Lonchura striata: one gene and its partner. The protein of the gene in region 1 purifies or fractionates together with the protein of each later gene. This does not show direct contact. Links are inferred from orthologs where the notes say so. Each region holds a gene or a part of one and is shown on either strand. Other genes may lie near its edges.

Evidence for each region. The genes of interacting proteins can lie anywhere in the genome.
Region 2: the proteins of TRAF3IP2 (region 1) and CD40 purify together in Homo sapiens (affinity purification with western blotting, with the first as the bait; 3 studies listed by BioGRID). This does not show direct contact. The link is inferred for Lonchura striata from reciprocal best matches to the Homo sapiens genes TRAF3IP2 and CD40.

What each region holds. Positions count from the first base shown.
Region 1 is NC_134605.1:68,416,638-68,423,576, forward strand, and holds the start of TRAF3IP2 (E3 ubiquitin ligase TRAF3IP2), read left to right. Parts: upstream 1-3,901; 5' UTR 3,902-4,278; intron 4,279-4,594; exon of another isoform or gene 4,595-4,641; intron 4,642-6,939. UniProt on the Homo sapiens protein: E3 ubiquitin ligase that catalyzes 'Lys-63'-linked polyubiquitination of target protein, enhancing protein-protein interaction and cell signaling. Transfers ubiquitin from E2 ubiquitin-conjugating enzyme UBE2V1-UBE2N to substrate protein.
Region 2 is NC_134619.1:8,306,244-8,313,624, forward strand, and holds the start of CD40 (tumor necrosis factor receptor superfamily member 5), read left to right. Parts: upstream 1-4,362; coding exon 4,363-4,410; intron 4,411-5,613; coding exon 5,614-5,695; intron 5,696-6,230; coding exon 6,231-6,356; intron 6,357-6,454; coding exon 6,455-6,598; intron 6,599-6,822; coding exon 6,823-6,922; intron 6,923-7,381.

The DNA of each region.
Region 1 (6,939 bases):
AGATTATCCTTCTTCCCCTACAGCCAGGCTAGAGCTTGCCAAGGGCTCTGGTTTGCTTTTTTGTGCATCAGCATTTGTTGCTGAGCTCATGCACCCAGAGCCTTGCTTAGCTACCTACTGTCACAGCTTCACACAAAATTCCTGAGCCCTGAAATGGATGAATTCTAATCTGGAAAAAGAAAAAAGAATGCAGGGCTGTTTTGTGACTACTGGGGCTCAGCCTCATGCCAGAGGCCTGTCTCTGAGCCCTGGCAGTCCCTGTGCTTTATTCACTGCTGCAGTTCAGGCTCTGGGCTGCCTCTCAATTCCACAGGCAGCTGGATTTCCCCAGCTAGAAAATGCTACTCGTATAGGAGGGTCTCTGGTGTTGGGAAAGGGCTGCAGGGGTCCCAGCACACCGCTCCTGGCACCACACATGGCCTGGGCCATCACTGTTCCTGGGACAGGCTTCCAGGAGAGAGTGGCAATGCAGAAGGGACCTGCAGCTTCCCTGGAGGCCCTTTGGACACCCAGAGCTGCCATGCTCTGTTAGCAGCAGCTCAGGCACAAGTGTGTGGAGCTGCTGACAGGTCTTGGGGTGACTTGGGTTCCGGGGCTGTGGTGCTACAGCCCATAGTCCCAGTGACAGTGGAGAAACAGCTTTGTGTCTTAAACAGAGAGGACTAGCTACGGTTGATCACACAAGTGCTCAAGTGCTCCCTCAAATTCCCATGCCTCCCAAAAGGAGTGCAGCCACCAGCTGAGCTTTGTCTATGACCTCATATATATCCAGTGTATAAAACACATTCCACATATTGAACATTTGCATATGTTACATGTCTTTTGTTCCACTTGGGTGGCCTTTTCCTCCCCTCCCCCCATGACTCATCCACACAGCTCCCATCACATTATTCTGGACGTGTCATTTCTGAAGGACTACACATCCCTGTCCTGCAGAGAATGGGGGCTCTGTTAATTGTCAAATGTTGAGTGGGTAATGATCAATGGGTGACTAATTGGATGCAAGAGGGAATAAAATAGGTATTACTTAGCTTCTGCTCTTAATTAAGAGGATACATAATGCTGTGGGGAAAATCTTAACAAATGGCAGGAGGTGTTTTTGTCATTATGCAGGGTTTAATTACATGCATTGCACAAGCCAACATCCAGGTACTGTTTTCTTTCCTTTCAGGTGTCTCTCCAGGGTGTGACTGAAAATTGACAAAGCAAGAGCCTTAAAATAAAATAAGTGGAAAATATTTTCGCAGGCATGTGCCTAGCAATGTAAACAGCAAGACATAGAAGAAAGTCCCGGTTTTCCTCACAGTGCAAAAGCAGCAAGGGACATGCAGAGAACCAGAGTGAGACCAGTGCATTATGCTGAGGCAGAGGGGGTTAAAGGCTCACTGCAATGTCTCCAGGTTAATTCACAGCACCAATGTTAAAAGAGGAGTAACATGACAGTGCGCTATTTAAACAGTTAATAATTTGGAAGCAAAAATATTCATTATTTATTTCTCCAAAAACAGAGATGTGGTAAGAAATATGAGACGGGGCACTCAATACCAACATTTTCTTCCTAATGAAAAAAGAAATATTACAACTCCTGCCGGATAAGGAATGGATTTTAAAAAGAAAAAAATGGTCCGTGTTACTTGCCTTGACAAAGAAAACCATCCTGCACTTGAATCTGTTCTTTCTATGACAGGCCCAATATGACTCATCACGTTCTGCTTGTAAATAATGTACAGATGAGATTCTAACTTTAGAGAGTTCAGAGTTTTATCTGGCTTTCAGTGAGTGAAGTCAGTAGGGTAGGAAGACTTCAAATATATAAAGGAGGCCTTCAGAAGGCAATTATGATGGCTTCAGTTTTGGGGATGAGGGAGGTTTTTGAAATGCTAAAATTAACTTGGGTATCTATTGTCCAAGTTTCCTAATCCAAAAATGAGTTAATTGACAACAGTTTCTACAGCTTTGTGGGAGTGTACTGAGGTTTGGGCTGGACCTTTGAAACCCACTCAGCAGACAGTGCTGTTAACAGATTCAACAGAGTGTGACTTTCAAGCTATTTTTCCCCTCTTTGTCTAAAGTACATAATTCTCAAGAGAAAGGAAACTGCTCCAAATATCTGCTGTTTTCTGGGGCTTGGCAAGTTAAAGAGGGGACAGAGACTGGTTCTTTGGCCGCATCTGCAGACATCATTAGATCTCTGCATTTCTGGAGCTGAAGTGACAGATCTCACAACCAGAATGTTCCTCTCCTGGACAACCGACAGCTGTCTACAGGGGTGGCAGGTGGACACTGTTGTTTGCTGGATGTTACAGACCAGTGTCCAGGGTTTGACCAGCGGAGAACAGAGGACTGTCCATACCCATTGTCAGTGAGGGAGGCCATCCACGGCGTGAAGAGAGGTGCTTGATGGCTCCATAGCAGAACCTTTTATAAAGAAACCCCACAGATGTGGGTATTGATGAAGCATTCCACGGGACACTCTGTCTGCCAAGTCCCCATGCTGCTTGCATTCCCTGAGGAGCTGGTCGTTGCACAGCAAACACTACATACATCCCTCACACACATCCCAGGAAGGTCAGGTGCTCCCCAGAGCAACTCTCCCTCCCTGCTTCCATCCTGTCAACATTCAACAAGGTCCTGATTTTGGCTCCTGTGTGGCCGTGGGCCCCTCACCGCCCTCACCCACTGTGGCACACCAGTGGCAGTGGAGCCATCACTGCTCCTGAGCTGGAGGCCGGTGGGAAAGCCGGCAGGAGAGGCAGCCACCCAAGCCCAGTGCGGTGCAACTCGGGGCTCAGGCAGCCTTGAAGAAAATGCCGGCTGTCAGGGTGCTCATGGTGCAAAACAGCTGTGCAGCAGAGGCCAGGCCAGAGGGATTAAACCTTCAGCTGTGGTCATAATGCAGCCACTCCAGCCGTAAGCATCTAGTGCTCATCACATCTGGGGCTGGCTGGGAGCAGCAGGGACTCTCCAGGGAGTCTGGCAGCGGTCAAGGACAACTTCAGAGTGCTCCAAAAGGGAGCCCTGGTGTCCTGCTGGCCTTTGCCTTGGCACAGGAGGCAGAAAGCGGGGAAGGAGGGGGTCAGGATGGCCAGTTCCAGGGCCAGACTGATGTGGGATTTCTCACCAGGGAAGGTAAGCCCAGGCTGCAGGGCATCACTGCACTGCCATCAATACAATCACACTTAGTGCTCAGCTGGGGGCACATCCTGCTCCCAGCTGCCTGAAGGCAACTTCCAAAAATGTGGGCAGTCATTCCGTGATGAGAGGAGATAATTGCCTGGGTCACTGCTTTGCCTTTGGACCAGAAAGAGGGGCTGGCAGAGTGGCGGGCGTGCAGAGAGAGCCCTTCCCGAGGGCAGGAATGCTGGGTATGTGCCCCCTTCCTCGGCCCCCCGTGTCACTGGAGGGGCACAGGAAGGAGCAGCGGTGGCACTGCCAGAGCTCGGAGCTCGGGGGTGGTTTCCATGTCCCTGTGCCAGGCAGACCTGCCAGGCATCCAGGCAGCCGCGGTGTCCGCCTGCGGCCACCCGGAGGGTGGGGAGCCGTGCCAGAACGTCCTCCTAGGGTGAAACTAAGAAAATGAGGCTGGAGATCACGAAGAGCTTCTCGGCAGGGAGATGCGCTGCGTGGGGGTCAGGACAGTGGCGTGGCCTGGGATAAAAGCGGCCAGAGCGGCTTTCCTGGGGCAGCTCACCGGGCATCTCCGGAGCTGGGAGAACACAAAGTTTCAGCTTGTAGGAAAAGCGATTTTCTGGTCCTTGAGAGTGTAGAAACTTGGAAGTGTCTAGAAAGCTAATATAAAAGAAAGAACCAGTCGAGAAATCCTTTTATTGTTCTTTATATAGTTCTCACACGCGTCATGTGATTCTCTTCGACCGTCTGAATCACAGCTGATTTACCATTTGGCCCTGACAGCAAGCGGCCGAGGGCTGAAAGCAAGGGATGGCTTTCGCGGCGAGGCGCACGGGTTAGGAATCACGCCGGGGTTGCCCTGCGCCCTTCGGCCGCGGCGCTCGGGCAGAGCCGCGGCACCCACGGGCGCGGCAGCGCGGCAGGCACGGCCGGGAGCCGCTTCCCGGCGCCACCGCGCCGAGCCGGCCTGCGCTTCCACTTCCTGCTGCAGGCCAGTTCTGCCGCTCACCTGGGAGAGGCTGGGAGCGTGTCGTAAAAGGAGGGAAGGCCGCCCGGCCGGCTGAGGAAGGAGCCCCGGGCGCGGCGGGAGCGGGAGGCGCAGCGCTCTCGCTGTCCGGGGCAGCCCAGCGCGAACCCCTCGCCCGCAAGGTAAGCAGGGTCAGCGGCGCCGCCTCCCTCGGCCCTGCCGCCCTCGGTGCTGACCCGCGCCTGCCTCTCGCCGGGCTAACCCCCCAAAATTGCTGCCTCGCTCGCTTTCTCCCCCTCCTCGGAGCATGGGAGCCCGGCTTTCACAGATGGTTACAAGGTGTTTCAGCCATTTCGCTGCAGTTTGTTTTGTTTGTTGGTTCTTGTTCTTTTAATTTTTTTAAATCAGGAGGGGTTTGGGGTAAACACAGGGGACGGACACGCCTGGTGTCGAAATGTTGTCCTGCCTATTTACGTAGTTTCCTGGCAATGAGTGGCGGCCAGGCCTGATCCCGATCCCGCCCTGTCCGGTTCTGCAGGCTCAAGGTGGTGTGTTGGCCGATGGCCCTCTCCTTTTCCCTCTCACTTTCCCTCTCACTTTCCTTTCCCCTCCCTTTCCCTTCCTTTTCCCTTCCCTCCCTTTCCCTTCCTTTTCCCTTCCCTCCCTTTCCCTTCCCTTCCCTTCCCTTCCCTTCCCTTCCCTTCCCTTCCCTTCCCTTCCCTTCCCTTCCCTTCCCTTCCCTTCCCTTCCTTTTCCCTTCCCTTCCCTTCCCTTCCCTTCCCTTCCCTTCCCTTCCCTTCCCTTCCCTTCCCTTCCCTTCCCTTCCCTTCCCTTCCCTTCCCTTCCCTTCCCTTCCCTTCCCTTCCCTTCCTTTCCCTTCCCTTCCCCAGCTGACCCGGGGCTGCATAGGACAAGTCCATAGACCTGGTGAGGGAGAGGTGGCTGCAAGGTGTGAAGAAAACAGGATCACAGATGCTTTTTGCCCCATCCTCTATATAGCCTTGGCACAGAAACAAGTGGGAGCAAGGTGGTAGTATTTCTTTTCTATTAGGATAAAACCTGCTTCCATATAAAACCCGTTCCCATTTCACCCAGTCTCAGGATACAGGTTTTGTAGGGTTAGCACTGGCTGGGCGCTGAGATTGGCACATCTGAGCTTACTGGTCCTCAACCACCACCAGTAACGCTGAGACCAGAAATTCCCATTCCCTGCAAGCCCTGGGTGGGTTCAAGGCCTGGACTGGCCACACCAGTGCCCCACCATGACCAGCTGCTGCTGTGACATCTATGACAGGTGATTCCAGAGACAGGGATGCGAGGGGCACGTGCGGCTGGGCCAGGGTGGGTGAGTTGCTGCCAGTGATGCTGCTGCCTGCAGTGCCATCAGCCTCTGAAACCAGCCTTGTCCTTGCAGAATGCTGGCAGTGCCTGGAAGCATGCTGTATATATATTTTTTTTTTAAATTATTTTCCGATGGAGTTGAGTTTTCTTTCTGTTTTCCTAAGGCAGGAAGCAAGGCATGTGCAATTATGGTGTTCGTGTCTGTCAGTGCCCCCCACCCCCAGCAGTGGCTTTTGAAGTTTGGCAGAGGGTACATGTCTGAAAGATACACACATTTCTGCACGTTTCATGACTGCAAGTGAGCGAGGCTGTTCTCACGCCAGCCGAGGGAGACACGTCAGGTCCCGCAGGCTTCCCTCAGCCTCCTGCCGCCCACGCTCCCGCAGCCCTCGTGCTGCAGAGCAGGGAGAGTGGCTACGGATGGGAGAGACATCAGCCCTGAGAAATACCAGGGGCTCTTTGGGAGCCACAGTCTTCGATGTAAGGCATGAAGCTGTAGCAAAGCAGGCTGAAGAAATTGATGCTTTTCAGGGTGATCCCTCCATCCCACCCCACTGAGACAGCCCCAGTTTGGTGACAGGAGTTTTGGATGTCCCCGAGCCCTGGGATATCCCAGGCTGGGGGTTCTTAAGTGCCTGTGAGAGTTTTGTCAGCACCAAAAATGGGTGGGAAGTAGCCTCTGGAAAACAATCACATTTTTAAGGATACTAAAGATAATTGTAGACATTTTCATATTTCACAATGTTTAGAAAGCTGGCAGGGAATGCTGCCTATATCTGAGGTGCCTGTTTGGACCCTGCTAGAGGGGTGTCACCCTTCTAGTTTCTTACTACTTACTGCCAGCATTCCTTCAACATGTATATCAATGTCTACACTAAAAAGGCAAAAAATACCAGGTCTGCTCTAGCCTTTGCACTGTGGATTGTCCACTGAAGCAGCATTAGTGGTGCAAAAAAGAATGTGAAGTTTGCTGTGCAGACAGGGTTTGAAGTATGTTCTCTTGGCACATGTAGATTTTCCTGCCATGGCTTCAGAAAGTACATGAGAGCAACCATATAGCCAGAGGAACATACTATTTTTCTAATTTTTCCAGAAGTCATGAAAATAAGCATTACCTGCCCTAGAGGGCTAAAAGTCTGGACTAGGAATGTGACACATGTCCTTAGTCTTTGCTGTGGAGGGTACCCAAGGGAGAGGGGAGCATCTGTGATGACAGCAGCCGAAATTTCTCACGGTGAAGTGCAAAATTCTGAAGCTTGGATTTCCTTGGCAGTGCTTATTTAAAGTGTAGACCCAAACCAGTTCCCACATTTGTACATGCTCCTCCTGTAAGGATTTCTCTCTGGTTTTTTGTGAGGAAAGTTATGTCTAGTGTTTCTGTAGAGAAAGCTGCACTTAGAGCAAGTGCTCTTGCACACTTACACTCATCTCACCCTGTGGCAACAGCATTCCTTGAGATCTCAGCATGTGCATCCTCACAGCAGCTTGCAGATTCTGCATCC
Region 2 (7,381 bases), on another chromosome or scaffold:
GCAACATTCACTGCACAAACTCACCCAAACAAATAAAAAAAGAAACACCCCAGAAAAAAAAAAAAACTAACAAAAAACAAACACTGCCAAGGCTAACAAAAACCCACCATCCCCGGGATTCAGACCTTCTGGCTTAAAATTCACCTTTAGATAAAGCTTAGATAAATTAATAACACTGAAACTTTCAAGGTGAACTCAAAGTTTGAAAATTATTTAATAAAGTTGTTCTACTTCCTAAACATTCACCCACAGAAATGCAGGATGGGATTTTCTGATTGTAACATGCAAGAAGCTTGGAAAAAGAAAGATGATGAAATTGAGTGTATCAACAGAAACTTATCTTTTTAATAATGCAATGCCTATAACCAAGATACTCCCTAACAGTCCCCTGGAGTAAATACAATTTAAAAGTCATCTCTAAATAAATAAATCAAATATCAAAATAGATAAGACGACTCTATATGAATACTTAACTGGCATGAAAAATACATCTACTCAGATCTTAGACATAAAATGTATTTATTTATCCTTTAAAGATCAATAAATTTCAGATTTGTATCACTCTTGCCCCTTTTTAGGAAACCCTCCAGAGATGGGGGGCAGAGAACGCTTCCTTGTCTAATAATTAACTGCCAGAACCGGGGTGAGGAAAACAAACTCAACACCCAAAACAAAATCCAACAAAATTAATCTCCTCTATCATATTTGCCCCAGTCCCCCTCCAAGTTTGTCCACACACATACACAGTTTTATCTTCCCCATGAGTAGTAACAAATCCCATTTTTTTAATGCAAAAGCACTGGACTTCTATTCCACTACTGCAGCTCAAGTTCTCATCAGTTGAGGGTACAGAAGCTTTCAAAATTTCCTCAAAATGAATAAGAGGCAATAAAATATAGAAAACACCATCTAGCTCGAGATCCCACTCAGAGCAGAATGCAGTGCACAGGCACACACAGCAAACAGGTGTCACACATGCCTGTAGCTGCTGGCAGGACAGCTCACTTTCAGTACAAAAAGCTGTAAGAAATTCCCTTTCGTGTTCCTTCGGGGTGGGGATAGCAGGGGGTGTCTGAGGAAGAGGCTGCAAGAACTTTCCACGTTAAGAAAACCAGAGAGCCATTTTCCAACTTCAAAACAATCAGTAAATCAGATGAGTTATCCCAGAACTCTCATCTAAGATAATTCACTGCCTCTTACCCTTTTCCACATGGCAGATTACATAGTTAAGGGCCATTTAGTGATCATAAGACCAGAATAAATGAATGTTGTCCCACCTCTGGGCACGCTACGTCAGGTGAACACCTAATTCCCACATTAAGTCCTGTTGTACAAATGCAGCCAGAGAGGCACCGGGGCACTTTAAAGGTGCCAATTCCCCGCGCAGTAACTCTGGGTCCTACCACAGGACAGCCCACGGCACCTCATGAGCCCACAAGCGCTCTGGAAATCAATTAAAGCCACATCTCTCTAAAAATCTTATATTTAAAACCAGAGTCGTTTATTAATAGCGCTACAGCCTCAAGGAAGCAAGACTGCTGGAGTGGGACATTGCATCTGATTTGCCACAAGCGAAACTCCGCACAAGTCTCCAGCAAGTTCAGGGGCAGAGCAGAAACAGCGGGCACGGAGGGCAGAGGTGCCGAGGAGCGGGGAGCTTCCCCCGGGGCAGGAGCTTCCCTCGGAGCGGAGCCGCGCTCTCCCCAGCGCCAGCAGGGCCCTCCGGGGGCAGCGCTGGCACCGCCCGGCCCGGCCCCCCGCACACGGTAACCCGGAGAGCGCCTCCGCCTTCCCCCCGTCAGAGCGCGCCCCGGCCGGCCCCTGCCCCGGGCCCCTGCCCCGGGCCCCGCCGCAGCTCCCGGGGCAGCGGGGAGGAACCCCCGGCCGGGAGCTTCCCCGGCGGCCGCCGCTCCCACCCGTGCTCCCCCTACCTCCGCCCGGGGCTGCCAGCGCCGCTCACCCGCACAGCGGCTACTCCGGGGGTGCGGGGCGGCCCCACCGAATCCCGGTGATCCCGCGCTGCCCGGACGCGAGGCGGAGGCGCGGCCCGCCCGCAGGCCGCGAGGCACGCCCGGCCCGGCCTCAGCCGAGAGCCGGGAGGGACCGGGCCCTCAGCGGGGCTCGCTGCCGGTAGCCTCTCGCTCGGGCGCTCCGCGCAGCGGGGCCGCGGGCCCGCAGACTCACCGCCGCTCCCGGCCCGGTCCCGGTGCCCCGTCAGGCCGCCGCCGCCAGGACAAAGGCGCCACCCGCCACTACCGCACGGCGCCGTCGCAAGGAGGAGGAGGGGGAAGCACGGTTGCTATGGCGATGTAGCGCGCTTTACGGCGCGGCGGCGCACCGCCATGCCTGCCGAGGCAAAGGCCACTTGCCCCGGCTCCCGGCATGTCCCGCGGCACGGCGCTGCAAGGCACGCCGGGAGTTGTAGTGCCGAGGAGGCCAGGCGGCCGCTGGGTGGCGCTTTCGGACCTCGCGCGGGGGAGGCGGCGGGATCGGGATCGGGATCAGACAGGGACGGGGATCAGACTGGGACAGGAACCGGGATCGGGATAGGACCGGGACCGGGATCGGGATCGGACCGGGACCGGGATTGGGATCGGGATCAGACTGGGACAGGGACCGGGACTGGGATTGGGATCAGACAGGGATCGGGACCGGGACCAGGATCAGATTGGGACTGGTATCAGGATCAGACTGTGACAAGGACTGGGATCGGGATCAGACTGGGACAGGGACCGGGATCAGGATCGGGATCAGACTGTGACAGGGACTGGGATCGGGATCAGACTGGGACAGCGACCAGAATCAGGGTCAGACTAGGACAGGAACCAGGATTAGGATCAGGATCAGACTGAGACAGGGATCAGGATCGGGATCAGACTGCTGTTGAGACAGGAGTAGATGTCGGGGTCAGACAGGGACCGTATGGGGCTTTTGAACGGGACCGGGACCGGTGTCAGGATCGGGACCGGGGTGGGGATCAGACCAGGACAGGTTCTGAGACTGGAACCGCGATTGGGATCAGACCGGAGCCGGGGCCAGGGCCAGGACCGGAGTGTCCTTGCCCCGTTCAAGGGGCAGCGTTCCCGTGCTGCACCCCTAGCGCCGGTGCCGCCCCGAGCAGCAGCTGCCCCGGTACTCTGTCCCGCTCTGCGGGTAGCGGGGTCGGGGGCTCTCGTAGGGGCTCCCACCTGAGCAGCTCCTGCCGAGCGGGAGCACGGGCCCCCGCTGCCGCCCGGGACCGGGAGCAAGAGGCGCTCACAGCCCGTGGCCACGGGAGAACCTGCTCAGGCAGTGCCCGGCGCCGCGGGGATTTCCCAGGCCAGGTCCACAGGAGTCGGGCCCAGAAATCCCCTTCTCTCCGCAGCCGCCCCCTTCGCCCTCGAGATTCCCCAGGGACCCTTCGTGCTCCCGAGTGAGTCAGTTCTGGGAAGTGACATTGGGCCGGGGAATCCAGAGCGCTCGGTTCCCAATTCCCGCTGCCCGCGGGGAGCGCGCTGCCCTTCTGCCGGGAGCAGCTGTGCCCTGGCGATGGCCGATTGTGGCCACCACCTCCTGCTGGGGCCGGGGCCGTGCCCGGGCAGGCGGCTGCGGCGGTGTGTCCGCTCGGGCACCGCGGCACCGTGGCGGCAGGAGTGCCGCAAGTGACCGGGGCACCGAGAGGCGCTGAGGAGCCGCCGTTCGCTGCCCAGCCACCGCAATGCCAAGGGAAGTGCAGGGAACGTCTCCGGAGCGGGCAGGGATCCTGGAAATTCCTTGGCGGTTGCTGGGAAGCCCTTTGGGGAACTGAGACGAAGGTACATCAACGTCACAGCACGGTTGCCCCTTCCCTTTCAGGACTGACGTGTTTGCGGGGACACTCCGCGCAGCTCAGGACTCTTGGCGGCTGTGGGGGGCTCTCCAGGGCTGCAGCCAGAGGGGCTCTTCCTGACCACAGCCGTGGGGGCTCTCCAGGGCGATAGCTCAGGGGCTCTTAAAGGCTAAATAAATAAATAAAAAAACCAAAACAAAACCAAAAAACTCTCTGAGCTACTGTTGGAAAGAAGAAGTGAAACCTGGAGCTCCTGGGGGGGTGGGGGACGGGGATGGGGGGCTGCACAGGCGCTCCCCTCCCCTCTCATCTCCTTCCCGCGGACGGCGGCCGACCCCTGCCACTGTCCCTGCCCCTGTTCCTGACTGCAGCCGTGACTCCGGGCCGGGGGTTCCCGGCGGTGGCAGCGCGGGGCTCGGAGGGGCCGGCCGGGAGCTGTCCCCAGCCGGGGCTGGCGGGGAAGCCCCGGGCAGAGCGGTCCAACGCCCCTTCCTGGGCGGGAACGGACCGAGGCGTTCTTAGGAGGGCGGCGGCGGCGGCCGGGGCGCAGCGCCATGAACCGGCTGGGGCTTTTGGGACTGCTCTGCGCGGCGCTGCTGGGCGTGAGTGGGGCCGGGATCGGGGCATGGAGCGGGACAGGGGCGGAGGGGATCCCTCCATCTCTGTGTCTCGCTGGGCTTTCCGGGAAGGGGCACGGTCCGGCCGCTCCGGCCCGTCCCAGGGCGCAGCCGCCCCCTCCGGGGAGCCCCGGGGCTGTGCGCGGGCGGCGTCAGCGGGACCGGGCGGCGCTGCCGCGTCGGCTCTGTCGGTCCGCTCTCCCGGGACCAGGCAGGGCGGACGAGTTGTCTGGACTGCCTGGTACCCTCTCCAGGTCTTGTACCCTCGCGCTTTCGCTTTTCTCCGATGGCGCGGGCCCGGCAGCCCAGCCCCGCCCTGCGCTAGCCCGGGGGTCCCCACGGGCAGGGACGGGCAGCGGCGAGCCCCGGGACCCTCGGCCGGGCCCCCAGCCGGGCAGGGCGCTTCTTTCACTTCTCGGTTGCATGTGGGCGGCTGGGACGGCGCCGCGGCCTCGTCGCAGTCCCCGCGCCGGGGCTGCTGGAGGTGCCCACGGGGGTGGGTGCGCCCGGCCGTGCTGGGTGCTCGCATGGCACCCTCGGCCCGGCCCTCTCTCCCTCGCTCCCTGCCGGAGCTCCGTCCCGCGCCCCAGGATGGCCAGGCCAGTCTGCCGGGACCTGCGGCACTACTGGGGATGCGCAGCGAGGGGCTGGCTCTATGAGACGAACGGGTGCCCTCTTGTACCCTGTCTTGCTCGAGAGCTCATTCCCTGCCTTCTTTTTACCCTTCCCTGTGCAGGTAGTCCCCTGCCAAGAGGAGCAAGGGCAGGCTCTGGCAAAGTTTGCATGAGTGTTGTGTTTGAATGGGGTTTTCCTGTCCCTCAGGGATGGTGTGTCAGCCTAGGGAAGGGGCTGGCAGTGCTCTGGGTGTGAAAGCTTGGTGATCTCGGCTCCCTCTGTGAGGGACTGCAGTACTGTTGGCAGGGGCACAGGGTGATGTGCAATCACCTTATGGTAGGAAATCTGGGGAAATGTGGAGCAACTCTGCCGGAATCACTGTCACCCCACTTCAAAGACAGCACTGATGGCATCAGGCAGCGTGGGTGGCTGCTGTGGTCTGTGGTTAGTGGAGGTGTGGGAAGAACGGTGTGAGGAAGCCCTCACCTCAGGGTGCAGGTTAGCACACATGTCTGTGGAAGCGCGGTGATGCGGAAGCGTTGGATATGAATTCACAGGTCTTGTTTCTTCCAGTTTTGGGAACCTGGTGGTGCCTTAACATGCTTTGATAAGCAATATATATACAAGGACAGATGCTGCAACCGGTGTCGGCCAGGTATGGAAACCCTTTCCTAGGGACCTCACAATTGGGCTGTGCCAGCACCTACTGCCTGGGCACAGCAGAGAAAGCTTCACTTGGTGTGATGGAGCCCCTCCACCTCACTGCCAGCAATGCTGACAGCTTCGCCTCCCTGTGTCATCTCAGTGACAGAGCAACTGGGACCTTGTGGGTCCCGGTCCCTTGGATCTCACCAAATGTGCCACAGCTCTCTTGGGCCTGTTTGTGCACTTGCAGCTACAGGATCTCACAGCAAAGGCAGCTTTGTGGGGAGAGTGCTGGCACTGGCACTAGCAATAGCTCCTGCTGTCACTGTCAGGTCATCTCCCAGTCCCTGGGTGCTGGCGTGGTGCCACAGCCCTCCCTCTGTATCTGGCCCCTGCAGTGTTTGTGGTCATCAGGCTGACTCCTTCAGCCCTGCCTTCCATACAGAATAGTGCAGCAGTCCTAGCATCCACAGCTGCCAGCCTTCCCCTGTCCTGCTAGCACAGGGAAAGCCCCCTTGCCCCTTCCTCACGAGCCTCTGTTGCAGGGGAAAAGCTGGTCTCTGAGTGCAATAAAACAGAAGACTCCATCTGTGCCCCCTGCGAGAGCGAGCACTATCAGCCAAGCTGGACCAAGGAGAAGCACTGTGCTCCTCATGATATCTGTGAACGCAGTAAGTGCTCCCTGTGACCACTGACCCCAGCCTGTGGGGATTGGGGGGACTGGCTCCCCTGCATGGTGTCTCACCTTGTCCATGTTCCCTCTGCCCAGATGCTGGCCTTGTTGTGAAGATGCATGGAAATGCAACACACAACACAGTGTGCCAGTGCCGGGCTGGCACGCACTGCTCTGACACCACCTGCCAGACCTGCGTGGAGAACCAGCCTTGCCAGCTTGGCTCTGGCTTCGTGGCAGGTAAATCTGACAAGCTCTTCCCTCTCAACGGAACTTATACCCTGTCAGCGCTGACCTCAGGGAATGGGGGATCCCCCAGCATGATGCTCCCTGGCAGGGCTTTGGGAGAGCTGTGCCATTGCCACGGGGTGTGCCGCACATCTGGATTCTGCAGCCCCTTGCCCCCTCAGGCCCTCACCCCCCATAGCCCTACTGACCTTCCTGCCATCTCTGCTCCTCTTCAGCCAAGGCCATGGACCGGATGTCATCCCCCTGTGAACCCTGTGCAGAAGGCACCTTCTCCAATGTCTCTTCTAAAACCGAGCCGTGCCACCCCTGGACAAGGTATTGTCTGAGTACAGACTGTGTCCTTCCACCAGCCCCAGTGAACACATCCTCTGCTGCCAGTTTTCTTGGTGGTCTTGGGGACTGGGCATCAGGCTGGTTTGTGAGTGACACAGCATCTGGCTGGTGTAGGGCCAGAGTGAGAGGAACAGGGCTAAGAGAACAGTGCGGACCAGGGCAGCATTGGCTGAGGTCGAGGCAGACATTCAGGCACTTATGTCTGTCCTTCACCATGTGCACAGACTGCTTGTCCCTTCAGGGATGTCCGTGCTGTCATCCATGCTGGAAGTAAGGGATCAGGGTCAATGGGGATGCCCCATGCCCTGTTCAGGTTCTCCCTCCCAGTGCTCTCTGTGGCTGTAGTCATTAGCCAAAACACAAGCCCTCTCCATGGGGAGTTTGGCTTTGAGGGTGCCGTGAACTGGCAGGTCATCCCTGTCTTTAGAAAGCTGCTTGAGG